Notamacropus eugenii: one gene and its partners. The protein of the gene in region 4 purifies or fractionates together with the protein of the main gene of each other region. This does not show direct contact. Links are inferred from orthologs where the notes say so. Each region holds a gene or a part of one and is shown on either strand. Other genes may lie near its edges.

Evidence for each region.
Region 1: the proteins of MMS19 (region 4) and PRIM2 purify together in Homo sapiens (affinity purification with western blotting; 5 studies listed by BioGRID and IntAct, with this or other methods). This does not show direct contact. The link is inferred for Notamacropus eugenii from reciprocal best matches to the Homo sapiens genes MMS19 and PRIM2.
Region 2: the proteins of MMS19 (region 4) and PRIM1 purify together in Homo sapiens (affinity purification with western blotting; 3 studies listed by BioGRID and IntAct, with this or other methods). This does not show direct contact. The link is inferred for Notamacropus eugenii from reciprocal best matches to the Homo sapiens genes MMS19 and PRIM1.
Region 3: the proteins of MMS19 (region 4) and RTEL1 purify together in Homo sapiens (affinity purification with western blotting; 4 studies listed by BioGRID and IntAct, with this or other methods). This does not show direct contact. The link is inferred for Notamacropus eugenii from reciprocal best matches to the Homo sapiens genes MMS19 and RTEL1.

The regions. Positions count from the first base shown.
Region 1 is NC_092873.1:125,584,100-125,591,589, reverse strand, and holds the start of PRIM2 (DNA primase large subunit), read right to left. Parts: upstream 3,255-7,490; 5' UTR 3,091-3,254; exon of another isoform or gene 3,042-3,090; intron 1,124-3,041; 5' UTR 1,116-1,123; coding exon 962-1,115; intron 1-961. UniProt on the Homo sapiens protein: Regulatory subunit of the DNA primase complex and component of the DNA polymerase alpha complex (also known as the alpha DNA polymerase-primase complex) which play an essential role in the initiation of DNA synthesis.
Region 2 is NC_092874.1:232,034,137-232,042,140, reverse strand, and holds the start of PRIM1 (DNA primase small subunit), read left to right. Parts: upstream 1-4,952; 5' UTR 4,953-5,087; coding exon 5,088-5,190; intron 5,191-8,004. UniProt on the Homo sapiens protein: Catalytic subunit of the DNA primase complex and component of the DNA polymerase alpha complex (also known as the alpha DNA polymerase-primase complex - primosome/replisome) which play an essential role in the initiation of DNA synthesis.
Region 3 is NC_092872.1:496,918,361-496,926,535, forward strand, and holds the start of RTEL1 (regulator of telomere elongation helicase 1), read right to left. Parts: upstream 3,356-8,175; 5' UTR 3,220-3,355; exon of another isoform or gene 3,181-3,219; intron 3,000-3,180; exon of another isoform or gene 2,839-2,999; intron 2,669-2,838; exon of another isoform or gene 2,452-2,668; intron 1,714-2,451; 5' UTR 1,681-1,713; coding exon 1,579-1,680; intron 1-1,578. UniProt on the Homo sapiens protein: A probable ATP-dependent DNA helicase implicated in telomere-length regulation, DNA repair and the maintenance of genomic stability. Acts as an anti-recombinase to counteract toxic recombination and limit crossover during meiosis.
Region 4 is NC_092872.1:214,294,268-214,301,727, forward strand, and holds the start of MMS19 (MMS19 nucleotide excision repair protein homolog), read right to left. Parts: upstream 3,236-7,460; 5' UTR 3,008-3,235; coding exon 2,899-3,007; intron 1-2,898. UniProt on the Homo sapiens protein: Key component of the cytosolic iron-sulfur protein assembly (CIA) complex, a multiprotein complex that mediates the incorporation of iron-sulfur cluster into apoproteins specifically involved in DNA metabolism and genomic integrity.

The DNA of each region.
Region 1 (7,490 bases), on a different chromosome or scaffold from region 4:
ATTCTCCACCATAAAAGAGCTACTATAAATAATTTTTATACATGATGTCCTTTTCTTCTTTCATCTCTTTGGGGGTAGAGATCTAGTAGTACTACCTCTGGGTCAAAGAGTAAACACAGTTTAATAGCTTTGGGGATATAGTACCAAATTGTATTCTGGAATAGGTAGAGTACTTCATTTCTGAGGCATAAATTAGACGTCAGAAGCAAATAGAATTTCCCATAGCTACATAAACTGATATACCATGGTAATGCAGAAATATAGACACCAAGTCATCAAAATGATTGCCATGAAGAAACTGTTACACTTAGCAATCAATGGCTCTTTGAAAGTAACTTATCCTGAAGTGATCAGAATCAGGAGAACATGGTACACAGTAACAGCAACGTACTACAATGATCCTAATTTATTCTCAGCAACAGAATAATCCGAGACAATTCCAAAGGATTCAAGATTAAAAACGCCATCCACCTCCAGAGAAAGACTGATGGAGTCTGAAGATCCAAGCATGTTGGGTTTCTTTTTTTTTTTGCTTTCTTTATTTTTGGTGTTGTTTTTGTGTTTTCTTCCACAATATGATTAATATAGGGATTTCTTTTGTAGGACTGCACATGAATAAGCTACATCAAATTGCTTACCCTCTCAAGGAGGGGGAAGGGGAGAGAAGGAGAGAATTTGAAACTCAAAATTTAAAAAAAATGTTAAAAAGTGTTTTTATGTACAATTGGGAAAAAAATAAAATATTATTTAAAATTCAAAAAACAAAGAAAGGAAGTAACTTATCTATCCTTCCCAACAGTACTAACCATTTCAGAACCCACTTCAAGTCAACAGTTGTGGTAAATTAGAATTCAGGGCTAACATGTACCTGAATTTCAAAGAAATGAGTGATCCAAAATTACCTTACTTAAACATACAAAGTTACCTTGCTTAAACAGTTACAATGTAAAATATCACTCACGTTTAAGCCTTTCAATAGCTAGATTCTCAAACTCTGCCAAAGATATGTTTTCAGAAGGAGGTTGTAGGTAGAACTGAAGGCTATGAGGATAGGAAGCACCTCTCTGGTCCCCTGCCAGACTCAGTTTCTTTCTCCTTGATCCAGAAAACTGCATCTTTGTTACTTAAGCAATAAATAAATAAATAAATAAAGATTAGTTGAAAATATAGCAAGACAGCTTTCAACTTTGCCCACTTGAGGAGCGTTCCTAATTTTCACCAACATACATGTTAAGAGGTATGTGTTACTGGTCTCAGAGTAAGGAATTCTACCAATTATACATTCTGTAAAGACTTGAACTCTTTGGGTTCCACATGCACGTTCATTTCTCTTGTAATAAGCCTGGTTTTCACATATGTCTCATGATGATTGCTTGTTGATAACCTCCACACCATGTTTCTTATCCATCTCCAAGCTGTCACCTTAGTTCAGGTGATCATCAGCTCTCCCTTGGACTGAATTCAAATCCAATCAGATACTTACTAGCTGTGTGACCCTGAGAAAGTCATTTAACTTCTTTCTGCCTCAGTTTCCTGAACTGTAAAATGAGGATAATAATAGCAGCTCCCTCCCAGAGTAGTTACGAGCATCGAATAAGATAATAGTTGTAAAGTACTTATTCCAGTGCCTGGCACATAGTAGTCCCTAAGTAAATGTTGGCTATTATCAACACTTATACTATCTGCCTAACAGAGCTGTTGTAAGAAAAATACACTATACACCTTACAGAACTACAGACATATATGTTTATTATGAGGAGTAGGAGGACAAAGAGGAGTGCAGTGGCCCATCAATTTCACTTAAAAAATCTGTGCCAATCAATGACATTTAACATTTATACCATCTTGCAAACTGCTTTACATACAACTTTATGAAACAGGTGCCTTTTTCCTTTTCTTTTCTCTTTTTTTTCAGTCTCGAAATGTGCTTTCATTAGTGTGGAGAACTCTGGGTTGGAAATCTTGTTCCACCTACACAGAACAGCTGGCCACTGAAAAGTTAAATGGCTTGGCCACAATCATAGGTATTTTTACTTTATTCAGCTAAGGGAACAGACTTACAAGTCGTTTTGACCATATATTACCTTTGACAGGGATAAACAATCCAATACCTAGTCACGTTAAAAGTGCAAGGTCAAATCTAAACAATTAAACACGACATATGTAAAATCCAATTGTTAAATAGATCATGAAAGAACGGTATATAAATGGAGAGACACAACTGCTTCTTGGTTCATGCTGCCACTGTATATAAATTGATAAAGAGACGCAGTCACTTCTCACTCTGTCTGAACCACCATGGCCCGGTGGATGGTGTCAGACCTAAGGTCAGGAAGACCTATCTTCCCAAGTTCGAATGTGGCCTCGGACACTTCCTAGCTGTGTGATCCCAGACAGGTCATTGAACCCAATCTGCCCCACTTTCCTCCTCTCTAACACGAGCTGGAGAAGGACGTGCCAAACCATTCCAGTGTCTTTGCCAAGAAAACCCCAAGTGAGGTCAGAAAGGATCCAGAACGACTGAGAAAGAGGGGACACTACAATCGGGATTAGCCCCACGAGAAAACTGACTTAGCAAAGGTTAAGTGATCTGCTATTAAGTGCAGAAGGTGGTGTTCAAACCATGGCCTCACCGGATCTCAAGCGCAGCCCTCCCGGCCACACTTGCTGCCTGTGACCCGACCCAGTCACGCCGTGGCTCCGGGCGCCACACCCCCGGTTTTCAAGCCCTCCCTACCCGGACGGAGGTCCTGCTACTCTCAATGGCCCCCAGAGGGTAAAGGGGGGGGGGGGGGGTACAGGATGGGGAGGGACGCAAGCATGGAGATTCCAGAGCTCGACCTTCCCAGACGTGGAGCTCCCAGGGAGGCGAAGCGCGCCGCCCCCCAGGCACCACTCACCCGGCACAAGCTTCTCCCTCTCCCCCCAGGCCCCCCAGTACCAGCCCCGCTTCTCAAGCCCAGTCCCCGCAAGGGGAAGCAGGGACCCGGCACACACTCCGGGACTCCCCGGACCCGGGGAAACAAAGCCAACCTACTCACAGGGTGGAAAGAGGAAACGCGTCCCAAGACCCTCACGCGAAGCTGTTACCTGCGGCAGCCCCAAGTGCCCTAAACGTGCCGGGACCCCTTCCCTTCAGAACCAGGACTCAGCGCTTCTCAAAGGCGGGAGATTTCGGATGGAGGCGGAAGTCGTCACCACTCGCGCCGGTCCCGCCCCCGGACTGGCCCCGCCCCCAGGGCCAGGCCAGGCCCGCCCCCTCTGGGCTGGCCCCGCCCCTCATGCCTGGCGCCCCGCCCCCTAGCTCCCGGAGCCCCGCCCTGCTTCCGCCGTCCTTCCGCCCCGCCCCTGAAGTTCCAGGTCCCCCAGGCTCGGGCTGGTTCTTCTGTGGTGGCATCCCGGAAGCGGGGTTCACTTACTCCAAGGACGCACCCATTTATTCTACAATCTATCTAGTGTGTTCTGATTTGTATACGCCTCTGTACCCGTCAGGCTGTCCGCTCTCTGAAGGGAGGGACAGATTGTTTGGTTTGGATTTTTGTTTTTATTTTTTCCTGGTTTCCTCCTGTCGCCTCTGAAATCCCACCTTCATCCCAGTTGATAAATGGTCAAAGGATATAAACAGGCAGGGTTCAGAGGAAGGAATTAAAGTTATCTGTCGTCCTATGAAAAAATGCTCTAAATCACTACTGATTAGAGAGTCCCAAACCAAAACCACTCTGAGGTGCCACATCACATCTATCAGGCTGGCTAAGGCGGCAGAACAACAAGACGGCCAATGCTGGAGAGGATGTGGGAGAGTTGGAACACTGATTCATTGTTGGTGGAGATGTGAGCTCATCCAACCATCCTGGAGAGTGGTTTGGAACTATGCCCAAAGGGTCACAAAAATGTGCATACCCTTTGACCCAGCACTAGTGCTTCTAGATCATAGAAATGGGAAAGGGTCCCACATGTACAAAAGTATTTATAGCAGCTCTCTTTGTGGCGGTCAAGAACTGGAAATCAAGGGGATGCCTATCAACTGGGGAACGGCTGAATAAATTATGGTACATGAATGTAATGGAATACTGTTGTGGCATAAGAAATGATGAACAGGAAGATGTCAGAGAGGCCTGGAAGGACTTACAGGAACTGATGCTGAGTGAAAGGAGCAGAACCAGGAGAACTTTGTATACAACAACAACCACAGTGTGGGAGGAATTTTTCTGGCAGACTTAGTACTGCAGTGCGATGCAAGGATCTAAAAAATTCCCAGTGGACTCTTGAGGCAAATGTCATCCACATCCACAGAAAATTATGGAATTGGATTGCAGAATGAAGCAGACTATTTTCTCTTGTGTTTTGTTTTGATTTGGTTTTTCTCATGGTTTCTCCCATTTGTTTTAATTCTTCCATGCAACATGACTAAGTTGAAAATGTATTTAGTAAGAATGGATGTGTAGAACCCATATAAGAATGCATGCAGTCTGGGGAGGCGGGGGGAGTCAGGAAGAAGGAGGGACAAAGGGGGAGAAAATCTTAAGATTTATGGAAGTGATTATAGAAAACTGAAAACAAATAAATTAATTAATAAAATCCCACTTTTAGCAAGAAACCTTTTACAAATAAGATATGTTACAAGATAAATTCAAGATACCTCTTAGAGACGGGGCACTAGCATTAAGGAGGCTAGCAGTCTTTCCCCTGAGATTATCTCCAATTCAGCCTAAATATATCATTCATACATGGCGGTTTGCATGTTATCTCTCCTCTTAGACTGTGACCTCTTTGAGAGCAGGGACAGCTTTTGCCTTTGTAAGTGCTCAAAAAAATCAAAAAAAGTGATCATAAACACTGATTGCTTGATTGATGGGGGAAGTATCGGTTCTTTATAATGGAAACTGGGATGTGCATCGAGGTAAAGAGATGTTGAAAGATGAGATGTTAAAGAGAGGTAAGGGGTGTTGAGGGTTGACTGCAACCCTAGCACTGATGGAGCCCTGCAGGGATAAGAGTTTGTGGCCTGGCCAGAAATTGACCCAAGTGTGAACATATGAGCTTGATTAGGTCCAACCAGAGAGAAGGAAAAATTCATTCATCAGTATCACTTTTTTTTAAGATTCCCTAAAGTTTTTGTCAGCTCTTGGAGCATCAGAATAACTCTAGATTTCGGCCTCAAGGTGAGGATGGTCACTGGCTGCTGCAGAACCCTAAACATAGAGAGCAAAAGAAGAGATTCTTCAGGGCCTGACTGTGATGGCAGATACAGTGGGAAAAGCTGGATTTGGAATCAAAAGATCAGGGTTGAAATCCCAGTCCTGGACTGGATGAGGGGCTACTTTCTACCTGTTTAACCTTGGGCAATGAGGGCTTCAGTTCTTCCTCTGTAAAATGAGAGAACTGGACTTGATGTCAAAGTTACCTCCTCAGCACCTTCTAAATCAATGATCCTTCAACTCATTTGAGATTGCTGTTACCCTTTTCTTTTCCTAGGATCCATGGACTCTGGAGGTGGAGTATCTCTTTTCATCCTTTGTGTCCTCCCTACCAAAGCAACTTCAGGCACACAGCTCTTATGAAGTCCACATAGCTTGAAAATATATTCTTAGTTTGCTTTGCATTTGTGTTTGGGTTTTTTTGGTGGTTGTTGTTTCTTCAGTTAAAATCTGTTTCATATAGATATTGAGATTTAACAAGTTGGTTTGTTTTGATGAATTTTTTTCCCTCTCATGCTTTGTTAGGAAGGATGGCCCACTAGGTAGTGAAAGGGAATGAATATATTAATAAATTAAGATGACATAAAAACCAACAATGTCAATAAAAAATCAAATTTTTAAAAAATTAGAATCATAGAAGCAAAAGATAAGATCTAAGGAGTGCCACACAACTCTGTGAGAAAGATCTGCAATTTTTTTTATAACAAACTCTTTCTCCATCAAGGACAATGTATTCTGGTTGTAACATCATAGCTGGGAATGTGCTGTATGAGGAAATAGAAAGAGCACTAAAGAAAACAAAAACTGAAAAAAAATAACTACTAGACCAAAGATATAAAGAGGAAGTCTGTGTTGGAAGTGACACAGTTTTGAAGGTGTTAAGGATTGATTCTCAAGCTATCTGAAGGAGGAGAAAATGTCAAAACTGAAAAAAATAAATCTCAAACTTTATTAGTACAACAACAACAACAACAAAAAACACTAGTAGCTTCCCAGACATGCTCACTTTTAAAACCTATACAAATTCACTAATGAGGGAATTCATTAGAAGGAAAGAGATTAGCTTTTGCAAAGAGGATTCTAAAATAGACCACAATTTTTTTTTACCATCACCCAATTAACAAAATACAAGATCGCAGTGATTATTTTTTTATATTGATGACCATAAAAAAGTATTTGATTCAGCGGGACAAGATGCTCTCCTCCTACAAAAATACTTCCTGTCCATGTGGTAAAATTATACAAGATTCTGTGAAATATATAAAAAGGAGAACCTCTTTGGAAACCCTCTGATCATTAATAGTAATCAAGCTATAAAGGTGTATACTCATAAAAGATGTTCACCATTGTCATTAAGGAGATCCAGATGGCAACTAACAATAAATACTCATCAGTATCTTTTCTCAGGATAAAAGCAGATTCAAACAATAAAAAACAATTGCTCAGGAGGATTACAACCTGACTCCCCAAAGTTTTTGGGTTTCACGTAGTAAACTTTTCATTATTGACAGTGGTGGTGGTTAACACAGCAAAGACAGATAGATACATAGATGATAGATAGATACATAGATAGATTTAGCTAGTAAGGGGAAGATTTCATCTAATAGTACACAAAGGCATAAGGCAGAATGTACAACCATGTGAAGAGTGGGTGTTTGGGTGTATGTGCCTATGTTTCTTTTAACAGTAAGCAAGATTAACAAAGCATAGAAAGATGGCTATGGACCAAAGCTTGAGGGTACACCCACAGTTAAGACTGTCGTTTTACCCTCTGACACTGTTCTTGAGACACAATGTGGTTGAGTGTAGTTTTGTCCTTTGAAACTTGTTTAGATTGTTTACCAAGATGGGGAACTACGGGTATAAAATATTGTATATACTGTCCAACATGGTTGTCTAGCTAATTGGTTTTGATAAACATCTCTCTCCCTCCCTCTCTCCTTCTCTCTCCCTTCTCTCTCTCCTTCTCTCTCTCTCTCTCTCTCTCTCTCTCTCTCTCTCTCTCTCTCTCTCTCTCTCTCTCTCTCTCTCTTTCATGCTTTCTTGGAAGGGATGGTCCACTGCATAGGGAAGGGTTAGAGAGGACATGGGAAACAGCCAGCTTAGCTGGATCATAGAGGGTGGAAAGGGCAGTGAGACCAGAAACATAGATCAGGGGTAAATTGTGAAAGGCTTTAAAAACTAAACACAAGCATTAATGATGATTACAAGTAATAGTCACATGAGTTGGAGTAAAGAATGACATGATCCAATCTGTATTTGAGGAAAATCACTTTGGCATATGATTTGGAG
Region 2 (8,004 bases), on a different chromosome or scaffold from region 4:
CTTGCACACTTTGCTCTATACTAGTTTATGGATCTTCCTAATTTTCTCTGAAATTATCTCTTCTCTTATTTCATTTTGCATGAGTATCCTATTACATTCACAAAATATCATTTGTTCAATCATTCCTAATTGATGGGCACCCCTCCCCCTTGGTTTCAACCCTTTCAATTCTGATGTTTTGCCATTTATTTGATATATGTGTGTGATTGGTTTTTGTTTTTAAGAAAAAATTGGTGGCTATCAAAATCCTGACTACCACCAATCTGGGGGACTTATTCAAGAATTCAGAGATGGAGCCTTCTAAAGAGAGGAAAGAATTTCCCGATGTAGCCTCAGAGAAAATTCACATAGTTCCTAAACAATGTCCTACTTAACAAAGCCAATAAGTTTACTCAGACAGTACAACACCAATATGAAAAGGTTTCATATTCAGCTGTCCCTTCAGGGGAATTCTTTTTCTCAGAATCACTATAATTCTGGCAGGAATTCTGTGTGAAAGAGGAAATCATGAGAGTGTAAGGAGGTGATGATGAATTATTTGAGTGTTTTGTATGTTTTTGTATTCTCTTATGAGTTCCTGTGAGTTTTTGCATCTTTTTAATTTTCTAGGAATTTTTTTTAAACTGTCCTCATATGCACTTGACGGCTAAGTTTACATGGGAGCTAGAAACCCACTTTTGAGGGGAGATTTCCTGAACAAATTTTAGCAATAAGGAGTGAGTCAAAGAGAGAAAAACTGACCCTCCTGGGGTCAGCTTCCAGGATTGGACCCACTTTGTGTGAACCTGAAGTTATTAAAGGAAATTAAGGGGAGAGCCTGGGACATGGGACATAGAGACAATTAAATCTACGAAGAGTTGATGAGATCATTAAGGGAAGAGAATATAAAGAAGGGTGCCCAGGACATGGTCTTGGAGAACAACTACACTTAGGAGGAAGAAAGAGGATGATTATCCAACAAAGCAGAAGAAAAGATCAAACAGAAGAAAAACAATGAGGAGAGTGTGGTGTCACAGAAGAAAAGAAAAGATGGCATTTCCAGAAAGGTTTGATCTAGATGAGGGGTTCTTAACTTGGGTTCCAAATACCCCTCAGGTGGTACTTGGAATCTATTTGCATAGATTTCAAGAGGGGATCTATGAACTTGGGACTTTTAATAATTTTGATAATCATATTATATAATAATTGATTTCTTTGTAATCCTATGTATTTTATTTTATTTCATACATTTAAAAACATTTATTCTGAAAAGAGCTCTAATAGGCTTCACTAGACTGCCAAAGGGACCCTGGACACTAAAATGGTTAAGAACCCCCAATCAACACAGGGCTTCCAATGTTGCAAAGAAACAGAATGAAGAATGAGAAAAGGTTACTGGATTTAGCAGTTGATAACTTTGGAGACAGCTATTGATCTTGGAAGAATGACAAGGGCTTTTCAAATGCTGCCAAATCCTGACTATCTTAAACAATCCTAGCTGTGGAAGTCCAGCAAAAGGAGAATCCTGGGACTACTTCTGGAAACCAGATTTTCAGGCTACTTACAAAAACTATGTAACCTATGTCAACCATTATAGTTTGTTCTAAGAAACAAACAAAATTAGGCTGCAAGGTGTCAACCTGAAAATTTGGTTAAAGGAGGCAAACAGGCTAGGTGATAAGTAAATCTATATTGTTTGTTCCCTTAAAGCTAGTCTAAGCTAGCTAGCTTGTACATACAAAGTGCCAGAGTCTAAGTTCTGACTGTCTGATGAAAGAATGACCATGCTTAAATGTGTTTTAGAACAATTCCAACTCAGCATGTTTGTGTCACTTAAATTTATGATCTCCATATATGATTAGCCGTATTATGACAAAGGAATTTTCTTAATTGAATAGATGGTAAATACAAAAGATAAGAGAGTTGATAAAGTGTCCATTGAAATTATAACCTAGGATATCTGTGTTTTCTTTACCATTAACATGTCATAACATAGTATGCATCCATAAAATATTAAGATAAGAAAAGGTCTCATTATTCAAGATAGTGTCTCAGGTGAAGGGTCTCATCCTTAATGGTTGTAAACAGAGGAAAGAATGCTCTTAAGTCAGTCCCATCTGGCCAAGGTCAAGTTGACATAGGAGAGGTATTCTCAGAGAACAAAGAAGCTGTTAGTTCCAGGCTCTTCTTCTGGTTGATTAGTTCAGGCTCTGTCGCTTATTGAGGTTATTAAATTGATATTAAATGATTATCAATGGGCAAGCTGATTTCTCTCAAAGCTGGCAAATCATGCATATAGAGATATACATGAGAGTTCGTTGTGAAAATGAGTCCAAGGAAGAATGGAAAAGGGGGACCTTATATCTTCAGAGCAATTTAATTTCCTCTCACTCCTCCCTCCCTTCCCTGCTCAAGATACCTGTGTCAGACAAAATTATAGTCTCCATATGTGTTAACCATAATATGAAAAAGGAATTTCTTAGTAGGATAGATTGCCCATACAATAATATTAAAGAAGGGTCAAAATGTCAATTAAAATTCCAGTCCAAAATGTCTGTGTTTCTTCTATCATCAACATGATATAATATAACAATGTAATTTAATATAACATAATGAAATATAATATAATGTAACATAATATATGTCCATAAACTGCCAAGATAAGAAAAGTGCCATTATTCAAGATAGCATCCCATTCAAGGTGAGTTGTCCTTGGCAGTCAGGAATGTTTCTGGACAGTTTCATCCAGCCTTGTAGTTATTGACACAGGAAGGAGCATTTTAGGTTCACTCAGAGAGCTGATCAAAGCATGTCTGCTATGCTACAGCCCGAAAAGCATTATGGTAGGTTAAGTTCAAAGTGGGCCAAAAAATGCTTTTCTCCTGATTGGTCAATCCAGGTTTTAGGCCTTTCTCAGCTGGGGGGCTCGGGGGTCAAGGAGGTTTGGGGAGGTCTCTGGCTAGTTCACACCTAGGTACTTCTCTGAATGGGAGAAATCAATGAGTAGATGAAGTTCTGCTGACTGAAAGGGAAGTCTGACTTGTGATCTGTGGATAAAATGCGCTCGACTTTCTTCCAACCCCATAAAGGTAAATTATTAGAACAAAAATGGGGATGCCACATCTTCTCCCAACTCCTTGTGAATGCATCCATCCCTCTCTCTTTTTTTTTTAACAGAAAGAAATTTATTGGGAATATTTTGAGAATACATTTGAAAGAATAGGTCAATGTTTTCCAGCAAGGTAGGGAGTAGGGATGCTCATTCACTTCAACCAGAGCAAAGGAAGCCCCATTCAACCCTCTCTACACCTTCTCTGAACATGTTGACATTCTCTCATTGCCCTTCTGGCAGGCAGAACTTCAGCACCTTCTCCAGTATTTCCTCCTGCCAGAGACATGCTCAGACTCACAAAAGCTTTCTCACCTTTGGACATTTTCCTTCAAGATTTGGATCAAATACTTAAGAAATTAGGGCTTTTCCTCGGGGTGTGATAGAGACCTGACTTGGAAGAGCCAATCGCTAAATTTTCATTGCAAGAATTTGCACCCTGAAAATCAGCAAGCTACAAATTGGGGGTTGATTTATTGTTTGGGGGTGGGTGGGAATCAAAGAAGGCTTTGTAAAGGAGGGAGTAATTAAGTTGAACCTTGAAGGAAAATATCCCTCACCAAAGCAATTGCTGCTTTTTCTCAAGGTGTGCTGGAGACTCACGAAAGTCAACTGCTAAATTTTCATTGTGAGAATTTTACACCTCAGAAATCAGCAAGCTACCAGTTAGCTTAATTTACTATTTTGTTTATGACCAAGACTCTAGATTTAAGAACGTGATAGCTTACACAGTAACAGCCATGTTGTTCAGTGACTGACTTTGATAGACTTAGCTCTTCTCAGCAAAGCAAGGACTGAAAACATCTGCAAAAGACTCATGATGGAAAATACCATCCACATCCAGAGAAAGAAATATAGAATCTGAACGCAGATAGAAGCATACTATTTACTCCCTGTTTTGTTTTGTTCTTTCTTTCTCATGGTTCCTCCCATTCGTTCTAATTCTTCTATACAATATTACGAATGTGAATAATAAGAAGTTTTTTAATAAGAAGGTACGTACATGTAGAGCCTATATGAAAGCCTATGCCTGCCTTAGGGAGGGTGGAAGGGAGGGAGGCAGAGAAAATTTAAAACTTATGGAAGTGAATGTTGAAACCTAAAAATAAATTAATTTTAAAAAAAAGAAATTGAAAACAAGAATGCTGGATTTGCAAGAAAGTAATGGAGAAAATGTTAATAATACAGATTTAACTTAAAAGTGTGTCCAGCATACAACCCTTTCCCCTATCCCAGTCAACTGTGAAACATTTACCAGCACTTTTACCCTGTCTGCCTCTCCTCCAGTTTTGTATTTATTCTTGTGCTGTATCTTCCCATACAACACGGGTCGCTTAAAGGCTGGGATTATTTGCTTTCCCTCTTGGTATCCCTAGCGCTTAAGTTGCTTCCTTGCACACAGCAGGTGCATAATAAATGTTGGATGACTGCGGACGATCTCCCTTCCTGTCTCGTTCAAACTCACTTCAAAGGTCAGTCAGTCAGGCTAATGCTTCTCTTTCTTTTAACTAAGAATTATCCCTTAATTTAATTTAACATTCATTGTTTAATGAATTCCAAATGCTCTCCCTCTTTTCGGCCCCTCCCCCGCCCAGGTAAGACATATGCTATCAATTATACATGGGAAATCATGCAAAGCATATTTCCATATTCAGGTTAAGGATTCCTGTAATTCACTTCTCTCCTCAGTGACCGGATGGGGCGGGACTGCGTGATCTTCAACGTCTTCCGGCCTCTAACGAGTCTCTCCAGTTCCCTATGGAGGATACAGAAGTAAATCAGTACTTCCTTCTTCCTTCTCGCGCGCCTGAGCACAAAGTGCTCTCTCCAGTTTACAGTGCCCTATCGAAGAACTACACGTCCCAGAAGGCCCCGCGAAAGACCCTTTCCCGTCGCGCCGCGGGCGCGCCTGTGCAGTGACTTAGACTCGGGATTCCCATTTCCCGCCAAACTGTGAGACTGGGGTTTCTCTTGCCGCTAGACAAAATCCCCGAGGCCCATGGCGGCGTTTGACCCCAACGAGCTGCCTGAGCTGCTCAAGCTTTACTACCGGAGGCTCTTTCCCTTCTCCCAGTACTATCGCTGGCTCAATTATGGCGGAGGTGACCGGGGAATGGGCTCCCGGGAGGGGAAAGCAGCTGCGGGAGGGGGCGGGGGGAGGCGTGGAGAGCCTTGGGGGCGCACGGAATAGGAGTGCCGTCCTCTCCAGGTGGGGAGAGTGACCCAGTCACCCCACTTCTGGGGCCTGGCCTCCTTGAGCCCAGCGCCTAGGAAGCGCTTTGTAAGCGTTAGCCATCCTCATCGTCATTGTTACTGTTGAAGCGCTACATAAATATCGGCTATCGCTGTTGAAGCGCTACGTAAAAGTTAACTGTATTCCTTATTGTTGTCAGATTGAAACTCTATGTAAATGGTAGCTCCCATCATCGCCGACATGCTGTGGAAATATTACCCATCATCGTTATTGTTCTTGTTGAAGCGCTGTGTGTAAAAGTTAGCCATCATCTTGGGCCGTTATTGTTACTGTCCAAGAGCTGCATAAGTGTTAGCGATCGTCATTGTGCAAGCAAGCGCTGCATAAGTGTTAGCGATCGTCATTGTGCAAGCAAGCGCTGCATAAGTGTTAGCTATCATTACTGTGCAAGCAAGCGCTGCATAAATGTTAGCTATCGTCATTGTGCAAGCAAGCGCTGCATAAATGTTAGCGATTGTCATTGTGCAAGCAAGCGCTGCATAAATGTTAGCGATTGTCATTGTGCAAGCAAGCGCTGCATAAGTGTTAGCGATCGTCATTGTGCAAGCAAGCGCTTCATAAATGTTAGCGATTGTCATTGTGCAAGCAAGCGCTGCATAAATGTTAGCTATCGTCATTGTGCAAGCAAGCGCTGCATAAGTGTTAGCGATCGTCATTGTGCAAGCAAGCGCTGCATAAGTGTTAGCTATCATTACTGTGCAAGCAAGCGCTGCATAAATGTTAGCTATCGTCATTGTGCAAGCAAGCGCTGCATAAATGTTAGCGATTGTCATTGTGCAAGCAAGCGCTGCATAAGTGTTAGCTATCATTACTGTGCAAGCAAGCGCTGCATAAATGTTAGCTATCGTCATTGTGCAAGCAAGCGCTGCATAAATGTTAGCGATTGTCATTGTGCAAGCAAGCACTGCATAAGTGTTAGCTATCGTCATTGTACAAGCAAGCGCTGCATAAGTGTTAGCTATCATTACTGTGCAAGCAAGCGCTGCATAAATGTTAGCTATCGTCATTGTGCAAGCAAGCGCTGCATAAGTGTTAGCTATCGTCATTGTACAAGCAAGCGCTGCATAAGTGTTAGCTATCATTACTGTGCAAGCAAGCGCTGCATAAGTGTTAGCTATCGTCATTGTGCAAGCAAGCGCTGCATAAATGTTAGCGATTGTCATTGTGCAAGCAAGCGCTGCATAAATGTTAGCTATTGTTACTGTGCAAGCAAGCGCGGCATAAATGTTAGCTATCGTCATTGTGCAAGCAAGCGCTGCATAAATGTTAGCTATCGTCATTGTGCAAGCAAGCGCTGCATAAATGTTAGCTATCGTCATTGTGCAAGCAAGCGCTGCATAAGTGTTAGCTATCATTACTGTGCAAGCAAGCGCTGCATAAATGTTAGCTATCGTCATTGTGCAAGCAAGCGCTGCATAAGTGTTAGCTATCATTACTGTGCAAGCAAGCGCTGCATAAGTGTTAGCTATCATTACTGTGCAAGCAAGCGCTGCATAAGTGTTAGCTATCGTCATTGTGCAAGCAAGCGCTGCATAAGTGTTAGCTATCATTATGGAAGCGCTACATAGATACTAGTTTATCATTATTGTCCAAGTGCTACATAAATATCACCCTTATTGTTATTGAAGTGCTATATAAATATTAGTTATCGTTATTGTCCAAGCGCTGCATAAATGTTTGTTATCATTATTGTGGAAGCGCTCCATAAATCAACTATCGTTTTATTGTTGTTGAAGCGCTATATAAAAGTTATCTTCATTACTGTTGAAATGCTGTGTAAATGTTAGCCATCATCGACATTAATGCTGAAGCGCCATATAAAAGTTATCGCCATGATTGTTGTTGGACTCTGTAAACATCCTCATTACTGTTACTATCAGTGAGGTTAAAGTATTTCAGGCAAGATGAGGAGGAGCCAGGTCTTCTCTGGGGATGGCTCCTCTCCTCTCTTTTCAGTGCTTCCTCTCACCCCTTCCACATCTAAGTTACTTAATGAATTCTGGTTGGATTGCATTAGAGTAAATTTGTTCTGCTTGCTCCAGAGTACTAAACTAGGAGTAATGGGTAAAAGTTGAAGAGGAAGATGAAGCCTGGAATGAAAAGAAAGTATTTCCAAAAGTAATAGCCTTTGAGAAAGCCCTCTTCACTTAAGGCCCTTTTAAGCAAACCCTGGATGAGTACTTGATTGTGTTGTAGACTGGGTTCTTGTTTTAGTTCTGGGTTGGCCCAGATGCCCTCAGAGGTCCCATCCACCTCTGAGATTTTGAGAATTTTTCCCCTCTCCCCTCCCAGTCTTTTGAGTATCACTGCTTAGAGCTAGGGAAAAAGGAAATTAACAATTTGAGCTTTGAAATCCTAGGGCTCTGGGAACCAGGAGACCTGGGTTCTAATCTACCTTCTGCTAGCTCACTGAGAAAATGAGAGGGTTGGCATGGAATTTTGGATCCCTTGATGTTTGATCTATGAATTCTCCAGGATCATAGAGAGCTTCATAGGCCTAGAAGGGAAAAGGACCTTCAAAATCATCTAATTCAACCCTCTAATTTTACAGATGAGAAAACTGAGGCCCAGAGAGGTTTAGTGACTTTCCCAAAGTCAAATGGTTGATCAGGTGAGCCAGGATTTGATCCCAGGTCTCCATATTCAAGGTTCTTTCCACTCT
Region 3 (8,175 bases), about 280 Mb from region 4:
CCATCCCAGGAACCTTCTAGACCAAAGTGCTCCACTCAGGCCTGCGTTGTTTCCCCCAATTAGAAAGTAAGGTCTTCAAGAGCAGACAGCTGTTATTGCTTTTACATCTGTGTAAGTGGCCATGGTGCTTGACACTTAGTAAACAATTAATAAATAGTTTTTCATTCGTGATTCAAAACTGACCAAGCAAGAGGAAGTACTTTTACAAGGAATGTAAACCCTGAGATGTTACAATTTAAGTTGAAACTCTCAATCTAGTTCCACAAATCACAACTTCACTGGGTTTTAACAATCTCATCACTGAATAATACTATAATGGTGTACTTCAGCTAAAATTTACAGCAAGATATTTTGCTAGGGATGCCTTAAATAACAAATAATTTTGCAATTCTGAATTTAGGCTTTCAAACAGTTGCCTTATCTGAAAGCCTAAATACAAATTTCTTACATGAATGTCTGTAATCATTGGATTCAATGAGAGGCTAAGAATACAGCTCCACAAAAGCTATGAATTTAGTTGGGACTGAAATGGATCCAAGCCTCCACTTTGTTAGAAACAAGCCAGCTGACCAGAGCTAAAACCCAGGCCAAATGCTAACAGCACACAGGAATCTCAGCTCCAGCATCAATCATAACCAGAATAAATCCCTCAGATGGGAGAATTATGGACAAGGAATATTTCAAAATCTGCCAGAAATTACTGATGTGGTGATTAGTTTTTAAACTGCTCTACCCCCTGCCACCATTTCTTTTTGAATCTTTGCTACAAAGGATGGTTCAATGGGTTAGGGGTGGGAATGGAAGTATTTGAAAAGAAATGTGAATTTTTTTAAAAAGTATCAGTGGAAAACAACAAAATTAAAAATAAATAAAAAGAACAAATAGCCAAAGATAGATAGCTAACACGTATTACAAAGCACAAAGGAGAGAATCAACAGAAATAAACACTTATTGAACTGAACTTAATGGCAGGGACACAAAGAACCTATTATCTTTATTCTACTTTAAAATGTAGAAGGAAAGAGACAAGAGTTGAAAATTGGACGTTTCTTCTTACAGAATGACTGAATCACTGCAGAGGTAGAGAGGCTTGGAATTGGACTAGATGAACCTCTGAAGTTCCTTACAGGTAGAGAACTATGATCCTACATCTACATGTGTGGAATATTACACTTCCACAGGATTGATGCATTTGTAGGGTTTATTGAAGCTCTTTTTTTCCCTTTTTTTAAACCTTTGTTTACAAAGGATATTACACTGGGTAGGGGAGGGAAAGGGAAGAAAGATACATTTGGGAAAAGGGGTTGTAAAAACAAAAGATACCAAGAAAAATAAATAAATAAAATGGGAGAGAAGGGGAACCAAATCTGCAACTCTTTCAACTAATCAAACACTTCTCCTTTTGTCATTCTGGTATTCCAGGCTGTTTAGCATTTTAAAATAAAATAGAAAATGAACTTACACATGGTGGAAGGGAGGAACAAATATGTAAGAAATAAGTAATAAATCTGGTGCTTTTTGAATCATAGCCTTAACATGAACTTGTGACTCAAACAAAAATTCTAAGGGAAGTCTTACCTTTTGCAGGCACTCCAGGACTTTAGCCATATAGTCTTCTTGACATTTGTATGGTTGGAAAGGAAAATCCACTGTAACTCCATTTAATGTTATCTTTGGCATATCTACCTGTGTCCAGTTCAATTCCCAAATTTCCTGAAATTCAGTATATTTATTATTAAAATTTCACGAAATCATCCCAGACTTCTGAACATTTCTGTTCACACAGATGACAATTTTGTAAATAATAATGACAATAAGTTGAATTCGCTTCTCTCTTGGTATGACGTATTCCAAGCACTCTATTATCATGTAACTGTTTATGTGGTTTGGGATTGGATGCCTCCCAAAGGAGAGAGACCGTAGCTAACATTTACAATGGCTCTAAGGTTTTTGTATTTAGGGTTTGCAAAGGCTTTACTAACAACAATTCTATGAGACAGGCTATATTGATGATTATCCCCATCATACCGATGGGAAACTGTTCTGCCCAAACTCAATCATTAGTAAATAGCAGAGCCAGAATGGGAGGGCAGATCTCCTGAATCCAAATGTGGCATTATTTCAACAGTACCACTCTACCACACATCTATCTCTAGGTTATAAGTGAGGAAGGAAAGTCAAACAGAGTACACAAGACGTCAGAGACCTGATGCACTGGAAATTGTGGTCCGAGAGCAGGGGCTCAAACCCTGCTCTGCTAGCTGACCTCCCAGAGCTTCTACAAAACTGAGGAGAGTGGGGGGCAAGGGGGTAGGTTTTATGACCTCTGAGGTGTCCTACACTTCCACCCTGGAGCCTCCAGCTTTTTGCCAAGGGCGTTACACGGAAGTTCAAGCACAGATTAAAGCACACCAAAGTCTGGACGACCTTTAAAACAGCCAAGGTCCCTTCGCTGAGGCCCTTCACTATGGAGTGGCTGAGGATTTAGACTTGTTCTGCTAGGCTCCGGAGGACAGCACTAGGAGGCAGCCGCAGGGGGCCTGAGGGGGCTTCCTTCTCAAGCCACGCACCGCTCCCAGTCAGAATGCGGGCTCCCAGAGTACAGGGGTGGCTTGGCTTAGTATCTGCACCCCGGATGTTGGCACAGGCCCCAAGTCTTTAGCACCCAGTAAGTGCTTTTTCATGCACCCACCGAGAGGCAGATTTAGGCCTTCAAGAGAAGCTACTTAAACAATCCATTGTAATTACAATTAAAGCTGGCCCAGAAGAGGGATGGGCCGGGACAGGGCGGGGGGGGGGGGGGGGGGGGGGGGTAGTGGGGATCCTCCCCACCCCCACCTTTAGGGTACTCCAGCTCAGCAGAAGCCCTGAACATATGTTATGGAGGGGATCTCGACCTAGGCCAAGGAAAATTGTGATGTCTCTTCCAGCTGAGAGTTTGTGATCAGTGCGGGGCTCAGATTCGTTACGGGAGGAGGAAGGGAAAGAGCAAGAAATGGGTAAGAAAACGCCAGCTGGCAATGGTGCCCGGGCAGCAGCGCTCCAGGCAAACGCGAGCGACCTTCCCAGGTAGCCCAGCGGGAAGCCAGCCAGCGCGCAGCCTGCTGGGAGCTGTAGTTTTTTCTAAAAGATCATCCTCCTAGCTCCAGAAACCAGGACTTCTCCCTTGACTTCCGACAGGGCCGCTGAGTGGAGGGACAGATCCCGGGGAGGACTCACCACGGCTCTTCAGAAGCTCCTCTCTTTGTCTCTCCCGGGCCTCGGCAGTGCCCCAATTTGCACTTTCCCGGGCAGCAGAGAAGCGGTGGCGTAAGCTGTCACGTGCCACTTACGTCATATCCCAGGTCGAAAGCCCGTCCTTCTTCCTGCGATGCTCGGGGCTGGCGGTGATGACGTAAGCCTGAGGCTGCGCTGGGTGGAAGGGAGGTCCAGCCCTGCCTTTCCTTGGGTCCGGGTGCTGTTTGCCCAGGGGCTGGTTGACTGTAGCTCTGTTCCCCCTACCTTCTGGGCTAAACCCACGGTCCCGTCCCCCCCTTAAGCATTTCTGTAAGAAAGTAGAACACAAAAAGAGGTCTCTGCATGAAGCCCTGAATCTCTTCCACTGAGATTGCTTTTTTAACATATAATAAAGTCAACCCATTACTGTAATACCTCGTTGTGCTTCCTTCTGAACTACTTTGTATTCTGTGAATTTTTAAAACTGTTTAAATGATTCCCCCTTTTTTTTGGCATCAGTATGGCTGTTCTCCAACCTCTTTCCCCAATTAAAAGCAGGAAAAATAAATCCTCTTAATAAACCAAGCAAAAGAGTTCCCACACAGGGACCATTTCACTTCCTGCACCTTGAGTCCTTCAACCCCACTTGTCCATAGTGCTTTCTCTTAAGACCTCTGTGGTTTGGGTTGGGTTGCATTGCTTTTATCAGATTTAAGTCTTTCAAAGGTGTTTTTTCTTTAAAATGTTGTCAGTGTGTAAGTTGTTCTACAGGTTTGCCTCAGATCACTTTGCATCAGTTCCTGTTTCTCAAGTTTTCCTCATTTCTTACAACAAAATATAATAAATATGTAATATAATATTCATGACATTCACAGTTTATTCTGCCATTCACCAGTTAATGGGAACTCCTTAGGTTCAAGTTTTTTCTTTTGTCTTTAAATTACCCCCCTGAAGATCAGGAAGTTTGTTTCTCCTGATGTTATTCCTTCCCGTATCCCAACTTGTTTCCCTGCTTAAAGCAGGAACAAAGACTTTGGGGACACTATTTCTACATCAAGCTATCCGTGTGGGAGGGGTGGTGGTGGTGATAGGTGTGTGTGTGTTAAAACCTTTGTCCGGTTCAGATAAGAGTAAGATTTATCTGATGCCTGCTCCCCACCCCCATGCCCACCCCCATTACTCCGTTTTGGTATACTCTTCTGAACATGCCCACCAATTATGAAAATTAGTTGAGTTCCACACCCTCTTTGGGACCCCATAGACTATAGCTTACCAGGTCCTTCTATCCTTCACTCTCTCCTGAAGTCTGTTCAAGTTCATGTTTGTTGTTTCCATAACACTCTCTATCCATCTTATCCTCTGCCATCCTCTTTTCCTTTTGCCTTCAATCTTTCTTCATATCAGGGGCTTTTCCTGTCTTCTTATTAAGTGGCAAGAGTTTTTAAGTTTCAGTATTTGACCTTCTGGTGAATAGTCTGAGTTAATTTCTTTAAGTATTGACTGATTTGATCTCCTTGATGTCCAGGGAACTCTCAAAAGTCTTCAGCACCATAATCTGAAAGTGTTGATTCTGAAGCACTCAACTTTCCCTACAATCCAACTCTCATCTGTACATCAGTACTAGAAAAAAAACATAGTTTTGACTCTACAGATCTTTGTAAGCAAGGTGATATTGATGAGGTTCAGACTCTGGGAGCCTCCTTGAGCTCCCCTTGAATCTCCCCACAGAATCTGGCCTTGCTTACTCAACTCTAATCTTCCCATTTGTTCCGAAGTCTCAGGAAGCCCATGGGCTTTTCATTATCATTTCAGGTCTCTGTTGCACTCCCCACCCTTGATCCCATCAAAACCCCATTCCCATACTGCCCCTATCAAGATCTCTGGATTGCCCCACCTGCTTCCCACCCAAACCCTCCATTGTCTGCTATCTCCTGATAGCCTCCAGCTATTTCCAGCCTTTGACCCTCCTTGGATTCCCTCCTTGGACTTCTCCTCAAGACCCTTCCTAAACCCCTCCTCCCATCACCCTGAACTACCAGACCATCTCCTCCCCCCCCCCCCCCCCCCATCCCTCCTATACTCTTTTCTGTATTTAAGTCCCACCTTGCCTCCATGAAGGCGCTCAGATGCAATCCAGCTCAGACTCTGTCTAGCTGGGATTGTGCCTGGCCCGCTTGTGAATACAAACGTTACAAAAGCTTAGGCTCTTAAGAGGCAACCCAATTAGGCGAATCCTTAATAAATTTTGTTTTCTTTGGTTCTAAGAAGGCTTGAGTCGAATTCATTCGAGCACGACCCAGACCGTCGGTATTTTAGGGTTCCCCTCACCATTAACCTCATCAATATCACTGCTTTTTAGAATGTTGTACAGATTTGCCATAGCTTTCCTTCCAAGAAGCAAGTGTCTAAATTTCATGGCTACAGTTGCCATTTGCAGTGATTTCTGAGCCCAAGAATATAAAATCTGACACTACTTTAATTTTTTCTCCTATTTGCTAGGAAGTTATTGGACCACTTTCCAAGATCTTAGTTTTTTGTTAAGCTTTAATCCAGCTTTTATTTACACTTTCCTCTTTCATTCTCATCAAGAGGCTTCTTAATTCATTTTTGCTGATATTTCCCTCAGCCACATTTAATTCCATTAAAATTTAAATTAAATTAAATTTTTGATTCACCTAACCTGGCAGGTCACATGATATACTCTGCATATAACTTAAATAAATAAGGTCACAATATATAACCTTGTCATATTCCATTTTCAATCATAAACCTGTTCCATGCTCAGTTCTAAGTGTTGCTTCTTGGCCTACATACAGGTTCCTGAGCAGACAAATGAGATGATCTAGTATTTGCATCTCTTTGAAGACTTGCTACATTTTGTGGTGATCCACACAGTCAGAGGCTTTGGTGTAGTCAATGAAGCAGAAGTAGATGTTTTTATGGAACTCCCTTGCTTTTTCCACAATCCAGCAAATGTTGGCAATTTGGTTTCTAGTTCTTGTACCTCTTTGAAAACCAGCCTGCTCTTCTAGTAATTCTTGATTCATGTATTGCCAAAGCCTAGCTTGCAGAATCTTAAGCATAACCTTGCAGGACTGTGAAATGAATACAATTGTCTGGTGATTTTGAACATTCTTTGCTATTGTCCTTCTTTAGGATTGGGATATAAACTGATCTTTTCCAATCCAGTGGCCACCATTGAGTTTTCCAAATTTCCTAGTATGTTGAATGTAGCACTTTAACAGCATCACCTTTTAGGATTTTACATAGCTAAATAGGAATTTAGGAATTTAAATAGTTAAACATCTCCACTACCCTTATTGTTAGCATTGTATCCTAAGGCCCACTTGACTTCGCTCTCCAGGATGTCTGGCTCTAGATGAATAACCACACCATTATGATTATTGGTGATGTCAAGAACTTTCTTGTATAGTTCTTCTGTGTATTTTTGCCACCATTTCTCAATCTGTTCTACTTCTGTTAAGTCCCTTCCATTTTATCTTTTATCACACCCACTTTTGCATGAAATGTTCCCTTGATATCTTTTTTTCTAGAAAAGATCTCTTGTCTTTCTCATTCTATTATTTTCTTCTATTTCTTTGCATTGCTCATTTAAGAAAACCTTCTTATCTCTCCTTCCTATTTTTCGGAATTCTGCATTCAGCTGGGTATATAGTTCCCTTTCTCCTTTCCCTTTCCTTCTTTTCTCAGCTACGTGTAAAGCCTCATCAAAGTCATTTTGCTTCCTTGCTCTTCTTTTCCTTTGGAATGTTTTTTGTTGCTGCCTCCTGTACAATACTGAAAGCTTCTGTCCATAATTCTTCAGACACTGTACCAGATCTAATCCCTTAAAACTATAAATTACTTTCACTTCATATTCATAAGAGATGTTATTTAGGTCATACGTATTTGGTCTGATGGTTTCCCCTAATTTTCTTCAATTTACACCTGAATTTTGGAGTAAGAAGCTCATGATCTGAGCCATAGCCAGCTCCAGGTCTTGTTTTAACTGACTATATAGAGCTTCTGCACCTTTGGTTGCAAAATATATAATTGATCTGATTTCAACATTGATCATCTGGTAATATGTTGAGAGTAACCTTTTAGGTTGTTGAAAGAGAATGTGCTATTACCAGCAAATTTTCTTGAAAAAACTCTATTAGTCTTGATAATGTTTAATATAAAATTTTGGAATAATCTCTTTGTTCTCTCTGAAGTAAACTCAGAGAGTGCCTCTTCCTATGTCAGCAAAAGCCAGCCAAGGCCGACTCTACACTCCTTAAGGAGACCTTTAACCTAAGACACTATATCTTGAATAATAAGACTTTCCTTTGATGAATAATGAGACTTTCCTTTGATGAATCTTATTATCTATAGACACATACTATGTTATGAATAATGGGACTTTCCTTTGATCTATCGACATATACTATGTTATGGCGTATTAATGATAAAGAAAATATAGACATCTTAGATCATAATTTCTATTGAACATTGTTTACCCTTTCCTATGTCAATTATCTGTTTAAGGGAGGAAGCCTGCCACTTACTAGTGGTGGGGTTTCTTTCCTTATCACTGAGACATATGCTTACCCAGCTTGGAATCTCAAGGCCTGACTAACATTGCTTTGTTAATTGTCCTGTCTTACTGAATTTATGATTTGCTTAATTAGGAGAGTTTCTTTCTCATGGCAAAATGTACTTAAGACAGATGATTTCTGTACTAGATAGTCAGAGTCACCTCTGACTCCATAGCGCTATGTAACTGTTTTCTTTATAGGGAATTGATCAATTAATTAATTAAATCATAAAATGTATGCATTTAGCCATGTTGCCTTTTCTCTAACCAAGTTTTCAGGTCAACAGTCTCCACCCTGCTTCATTTTGTATTCCAGACCAAACTTTCTTGCTGTTCCAATTATCCTTTGATTTCCTACTTCAGCATTCTAATCCCCTATA
Region 4 (7,460 bases):
TAGCATTTTGTTTTTGCTTCTGAATCACCAGTGTCCAGCACAATAAGCATCTAATATTTGTTATATTAAATTTATTTTATATGCAATGGGAAACCACTGAAGATTCAAACACAAGATGATGAAAACAAGATTTTTAAAAAGATTAATTTGGAGGTGGTGTGTAGGATAGCTCTCAACCTTTTTTCACTCAAACTCTAGTGAAGATTTGTTTCTATAACATTAAAAAGATAATGAAAAAGCTGTGGGTTATTAAAAATCGCCCAAAACCCCCACAAACAACCACAATACAATTAATGTACTAGGGATATAAAGACAGAAAGAAAAGTTCCTGCCCTCGAGGAGCTTACATTCTCATGGTCATATAAAAAAATCAGGATTTAAATTCCAAGTTGTGTCCTTTTCCCCCTCCCTCTGGGATTTTCTCCAACTTATCCGGTGTAGATCTTGCTTACATTCAGTTATTTACATGGTGTACTCTCCAGTAGACTGTGAACTCCTGCAAAGCAGGGACTATTATTTGCCTTTTGCATCCCCAGTTCAGTAAAATGTATTCATTCTCATCCCCTCCTTCACCAGGAGTAGCATAAAAGTCAGGAGATTTGCTTATTGGTAGCTTTTCGTATAGACTTCTAAAGTCTAAATACATTTAAGACCTCCTCCTCACAATCCAGCCCTATTGTAACAGAATTTTATCTTAAACTACTCACCCCAACCAAAAGCAACTCTAGAGTTAGGTCAGGTTAATGTCTACACTCTATCACCTCTAAGCTTTTGTTCATTCACCTAACTTAGAAATATCCTCAGCTCTAGGATGCAGTCTCCCAAACAAAAAGGTAAGTTCCCAGAAGGCAGGAGCAATCGTAACCTTTGTAATATACTCCAGCATTTAGCAGAGTGCTAGTAAAAACTTATCAAAACCTTTTTCATTCATTCACCTGGGACTACTGAAATCCCATTCATTTTACTAGGATGGGCTCAAGTCAGACTGCCACAATCACGTGCAGTGGCTAAACTGGAAAAGTCTGTAAGCCCAAGTTGATTTTGCCCCTTCTCTAAAACTTTACTGTCATAACCTCACAATTTAATGCAATTATTGAGTCCAGTCACTTCTGTTGTGTCCGTCCGACTCTCTGTGAGTGACATTTTGGGTTCTCTTGGCACAGATATTGGAGTGGTTTGCCATTTACTTTTCAGCTCATTTTACAGATGAAGTAACTGAGGCAAACAGGGTTAAGTGACTTGCCCAGCATTACACAGCTATTAAGTGTCTAAGGTCAGATTTGAACTCAATGAAGATGAGTCTTTCTGACTTCAGGTGCAACACAGTATATCCACTGCGCCACCTAGCAGCCCTGATAAGTATTATATTCTTATATTATTCTTTAACTGGCTTACTTATAATATCCCCCCAAAAGATTAAGCTCATGGATAGTGACCCCACCTCATAACTTGTGCAAGGAATTTAGGAGAAAGAACAAGTAGATATCTACAGATTATAATAACAGCTTACATTTATATAGCACCCAAGTTTTCAAAGCAAGTTGTTCACTAGAACATTGAGGTATTATCCCCATTTTATATATACGGGAACTGAAACTCAGAGGGGTTTAAATGAATAGTATAAGGTCAGAGATAAGTGATACAGTTGAATAAAGCCCAGAAGGAGACAGTAAATGTAGAGCACTGTATACAAAGCCAGCCTGCCAAAGACACTAAAGACAAGGGCCACCCAGGATTAATTTAACGAAGGGAACTTTGTTTAGAACAAAGAGACAGTGTTAAACGTGGTACCTAGAGCAGTGGACAATCACAATTGGGCTAGCTGGACAGAGTTTAGCTAAAAAGGATAACTTTTAGGGGTTTAGTAATTTAACGGGTTTTATTAAAATGTGAAAGCTATGCACTATCATTCAAGGTACACCAAATTTACCTTTATCAATTTTATTTTATGATCTGGTCCCTATCCAAATTTCTTCTCAAACACTGTTCCTCTGTCTCTAAAAGTCAAACACCTGGTTTTCAGTATTCATAAATTTGAGGGGTCACAAATAAGCAAATGGTACATCCTCTCTTTTAAGGCCTCCCCCTCCGAAGTGATCACAGCTTTCCTAATCAATGACGAGCCAGGCAATACTACAGAAGAGCCTAATCGATGCTGAGGGCCAGGCACTGTGCAAAGTACTGGGTTGTTTTCTTTTAAACCCCAAAATGACACAGTCCCCTTCCACCAAGGAGTCTACTTCTTCCAGAAAGTTAGGCTGTTTTTTACAGACTGGTAAAACTGTCAAACCCAAAACTCTTAGTGGACAACCTCCTCCCCTCCACAAGCTCGTTATTAATAAATTACGTTATTTACTATTTAGCACGGGATCGGGGGGCCCTGTAACCCTGCCTAACTCTCTAGGAAGATTTCTGTCTAAAGGAGCCCTGCCTCAGCCTCCTATCCAAGAATCCGAACGCAAACGTGCGTGGACGAGACAAGACAAAGTTTCGGGAGGGTTGAAAGCCCCGCGGAAGAGCGCGATACAGGGAGGGGGGCCCACGGGAAGCGCCCAGGCAGGGCCGGGGAGGCCCTCGGGGACCCCCAGAACTAGTGTCGCCTTCCACCACCCTTCTTCCTCTCCATCATGCACCCAAGGCCCGAGCCAGCTTCCGGAGCCCACGTGGCTCCCTGCTCCCGCCTGCCCACGCCACGCCACGCGCCGGATCTCCCGAGCCCACACCTCCTTCTCCTCCTCCGCCCCGGCACTGCTCCGTCGTGGCCCCTTTTCCCGTCCCGACGGCTCGGCCCTAGTCGGCTTCCGTCCCCAGGCCCACCCCAACCGTCGCCTCCTTCCCTGCCCGCCGGCGCCAGGGGCGGCGGCTGCTCCCTCCCCGCAGCTTGCAGCGCGGATGTACCTGCCGCCACCTCGGCCGCCGGGCCGTCCTGCTGCCCGACCACAAAGTCCTGGACGAGGCCACCCAGGGCGCCCGCCGGGGCCAGCGCCTCCTCAGAGGCCGCGGCCATGATCGGAAATTGGGAAGAGGAGGAGGGGTAAGAGATGGAGGAGACAGCCCCACGGCAGCGCCGGGGCAGCTTCGCGCATGCGCACTCCGACCAATCACGTGGCGAGAAAGCGGGAGAGGGAGGGTTGCCTAGGTCACGTGTTTGCCCCCTTCCCGGCCGGACCGTCCCGGGGAGAGAGAGAAAAAGGCCCCGTGTCGGAGGGGAAGGGTCAGCTGCCCGGGGACTCAGCTGGTTCGTAGAGTAGGTAGGACGGCACACCACCCTAGACGACTAACGAAGCAGACTTTCGGGGAGACCGGGCGGATACCTGACTGGGTGGGGCCCGGCTGGGACGCCCCCCTCGGGGGAACCCAATGAGAGAGCTGGGCCCGGGCAGCGGGGCGGGGCCGACGGTCACATGCTCACCTGGGTCGGGGGCGGAGCCAGAGCCGGGCGGGGCCCGGCCGGGGCGGGGCTTTGCAGGTGAGTGACAGTGTCCGGGGACGGACTCCGAGGAGATCGCGGAGCTAGGTCTGAGTGGCCTTGGCCGCGGTGCCCGCCCCTCCTCTCTCTCTCCGGCCTCTTCTCCTGGCCGCTCCCGGCCCCAGCCCCCCTGGCCCGACCACCTGGGGCGGGCTCTTGAGCGCTGAGGGAGCCGCCCTCCCGCCCGCTCTCCCGCAAAGTTTGTGGCGGAGCCGGCGGCGGGGGCTGAGCGTGCCCCGGAGAGCGAGGGGACAACGACTGATGCAGAACGGCAGGAGCAGTTGAGTCCGGAGTGGCCCGGGACCCGCTCGGGGCATCGGAGGGGCTGCCCGCTCGCCGCCGCCCGTGCATGGGGCCGGGCTGAGCCGCGGCCATGGGCAACTGCGTGGGGAGACAGCGCGGAGACAGGCCGTCAGCGTCGGGACACCCCCGCAAGCGAGCAGGTGAGGACCGCGGGCGCCGGCTTGCCCGCCTCTGCCCCCCGCCGTGGCTCCGGTCCCTGCCCGGGCTGGGCTCGGGAGGAGGAAGCGCCCTGCGGGACGGGGAGCCGGGGAGGTGGGGGGAGGAGGCGGTGGCCGGTCCGGGCAGCCCCGAGCGAGCTCCGAGCCCGGCTCTGCCCGACTGGAAAGTGGCGGAGGCCGCCGGGCCGGGCCAGGAAACGTTCGGGACTGCTGCGGCGCGGACCGGGCGTGGAGGGCGGCGGCTCGGGCGACTCGGCTCCTCGGCGCAGGGGCCGAAGCGGGCTGCCGGGGCCCGGCCGGAGCCGTCTAGGAAGCTGCTAGTCCTGGGGAGCCCCGGCCGGACTCAGGAAGTCTTGAACTCCTTATTTTTTTAACCAAACTCCCCGGCTTCGGTGCCTGCGCCGGGAAGAGGTCGGGTCTTGGGCGCCTGGTCCCTGAGAGTGCCTCGGGGACCTTCCAGAAATCACAGGATCAAATTCTGCGAGATCCTCCTGCCCATTTTCCTGACGAGGAAACTGAGGCCCGAGAGGATGACGCCCTTGTTCACGTTCCTCCTAGAGCTCCGTGTAGAAAGCAGGTCTCACAGTTGCCAGTTTTTCTTTGTGTAAAAGGGGGTTTCGCAGCCGGTTTTGTAACGAGAGTTTTCTGATACCAAAGGTGGGTCACCGAACCTGATTTCAGGGGCACCTTTTTTCCAGAAATGTGTTTTTATGGAACGGTTTGAGAAAGACTTCAGTTTTAAAACTAAAAGGGTAGGTTTTCCTCTCCACCGTGCACACTTGGGGGCTTCCAACGGTCTGAACACCACATTCCTTATTTTCTCAGTCTTCAGCCCCTTACTCTCAACAGCATTTGATGTTGACCAGCCTCTCTTGGAAAACTCATCCCTTCCACCGAGTTGTGTTCATTTTGTCTGACCTTTCTTCCTTTTCCTGGCTCCACTTTGCCCCTAAATGTGGGCAGTCCCACGGTCACCCAAGTTGTCCAGACCATTTTTACCTTGGTACCAAAATAGCTTCCCATTTTCAGGATTCAGCTTCTTAAACCCCTTGGATTTCCCAAACCATCCTGCACACTCTCCAGTCACATTCTTCGGTACCACTGGATCTTGTCCAAGTGCTGCTCACAGCCCTTCAGCAGCTGACCATTGCCAGCAGGATCAAGTCCACGTTCTGTAATGTGGTACCCAGGCTGTACAGGCCTCCTTTGCCTGTCTCCTGCTCTGTAACTGTCCCTCCTCTCCCCCAGTCTTGTGCCTTTAGCCCACCTCCACCATGTTCTGCCCATCCATAATCCATGTGAAGCATTCCTGGATTTTCCATCTTCCCAAGTTAGAAGTGATCTTCCCCTTCCTGTTCTGAACCTTTTATGCATTTATTCCCTGTACTATCGATCTGGTGTTTAGTTTTAGTATCTTGTTCATGTGAAGTTTCGGCCAATTGACAACCTGTTTGAGGGCAGGCATTGGCTTTAGGAGAACTTATATTTCAAGCTTAAAGGGATCTTGGAGGCCATCTAGTTTGACCCCTTTATTTTGTGGAAAAGGAAAAACTGAGACTTAGGATGTAACACAAATACTTCTCCTATCCAGACAGCTTCTATACTTCACAAGTAGCTTTACTAAGGCAAATACTTATTAAGCACGCACTGTCTGCTCCCTAGATGCTGGAAGATAGAAAGACAGCAATGCAATGGTTCTTGCCATCAGGAAACTTCCCTTTTTGTGGGGCGTGGGGTGGGGAACAGGGCTTGGGTATTGAGATGGAGACACAGGATGTACACAAGTGTAATATAATTTATCTAACTAGCCTGAGCTGGTACAGTAGGTTCTTAGGGGAAGGTCACAAAGGGGACAATGTTTGCAACATGGTAAAAGGGGTATGTGTGGAGGAGATGGTCTTTTTTTTTTTTTTTTGGGCGAAGGTCTGAAATCATGGTAAATACTTGTCATTCCAGTAACATATCTGAAGCCTCACTCTGTGACACAGTTTAAATTGTGACCTGTTCCCCCACATTTCAAAGAGCTCCCCTAGTCCCTCCCTTCCCCATGACCTTTCTTTGCCACTCATCCTTGAGATGGATAGAGTTCTTCATGAGAACAATTCCATAAGCACCCTCCCTTTCATTCCACTGTATGATGTCCTTCCATGCAACAAAAATTACTTTTGACTGACCCCTGCTATCCTTAGACAAATTTATGTCCATGTCAATGAGGTAATTAAATGGTGTGCCCCCACTTGTTAAAAACTTAGGTGACTGATAGGAAGGTAATTAATTTTCCTGATTGCCTCCTATATGTAGCAGAGCTGAACCTTAAACACTTGAGACTGATGGAATTGGAGATATGTATTTGCTTTGGGGATTATCCTATAATTCTCTTCCAGACTTGTACTTCCTTGGGCCCAATGTGTGAGGATCAATAGGCCCTGCCCAGCATGTTTGTTATAAAAGAAGATAATTCTACACATATGGCTGTGACTGTTGATGAGTAATGAGATGACCCTTAGTTTTCTGTTCTCTGTTAGCCTTCCTGTGGCACTTTTATTTATGGGACTATGCCATTCAGCAGCTTAGAAGGAAAGCAGTAACTTAAGGTTTGCACTTGGTGCAACGAGAAGCCCTTCTGTTGACCCTTTGCTTTGGGGAGTTCTTAAAATAGGAAATCCTGGTTAGAATGCGGGGGCGGGGAGGCCTCTTGTCAGTATCTCACATTTCCCCCTATTCAGAATGGTGATTGCTTGGGCTCTTATCTCTGCTAAACTGCCAGCTGTGACTTGTTTGTGGGGGGAATCCAGAAGCACAGATAATGGGGCAAAGGGGCTGGGGTTTGGGTGGATAGGGGGGTGCAGATTTAGCCTCTGGCCTTTTTCTCCCTTCACTTGTCATGCAAGGTTTAGAATCCCATTTTGAAAGAGCAGTCTTTGCAGCGAGGGCCTGAGGTAAGATTCAAGCTCTTCCACTGATTAGCTGGAATCTGGGCAAGTAATTTCCCTCTTTGCTCCTTGGTTTTTTATGTTGGCAGCCTCAGAGGCCTTTTCGCTCCTAAATCCTGGGACTTAAGATTTTCTTTTTGCAAAACTTTAAAATGAGAATAAAATTGTACCTGCACCCTGCCTAGTTCCTAGAACTGGGATAGAAACTGGGAACACCTCATATGCAAAATATGTTCATGAAATGACAAAAAGATCTTGGATTGAGATCTTGATTCTAGTTCCAGATATGCCTTAGAAAAGACACTTAACCCTTAAACCAAACCCTCTCCCCCCAGCCTTACACTTTCATTAAGTATGTGACCATTGGACTTCAAAAAGATGTTGTGGGGATAAAACTAAGCTAATCTTGTAGTGTAAATGCTTTTGGAAAAATTATAAACCCTGTACAAATGTGAGGTGGAGGAGTAGTCTCTCATTTATTTGGCATTTGGGGGGCAGAGGGGAACAGATATTTAACTGTGGAAGTATCTAAACTTTTTTTAAAAATCATTTTAATGAAAATCTTACTAAAATGAATTTTTTCCCCTCTCTTTAAGC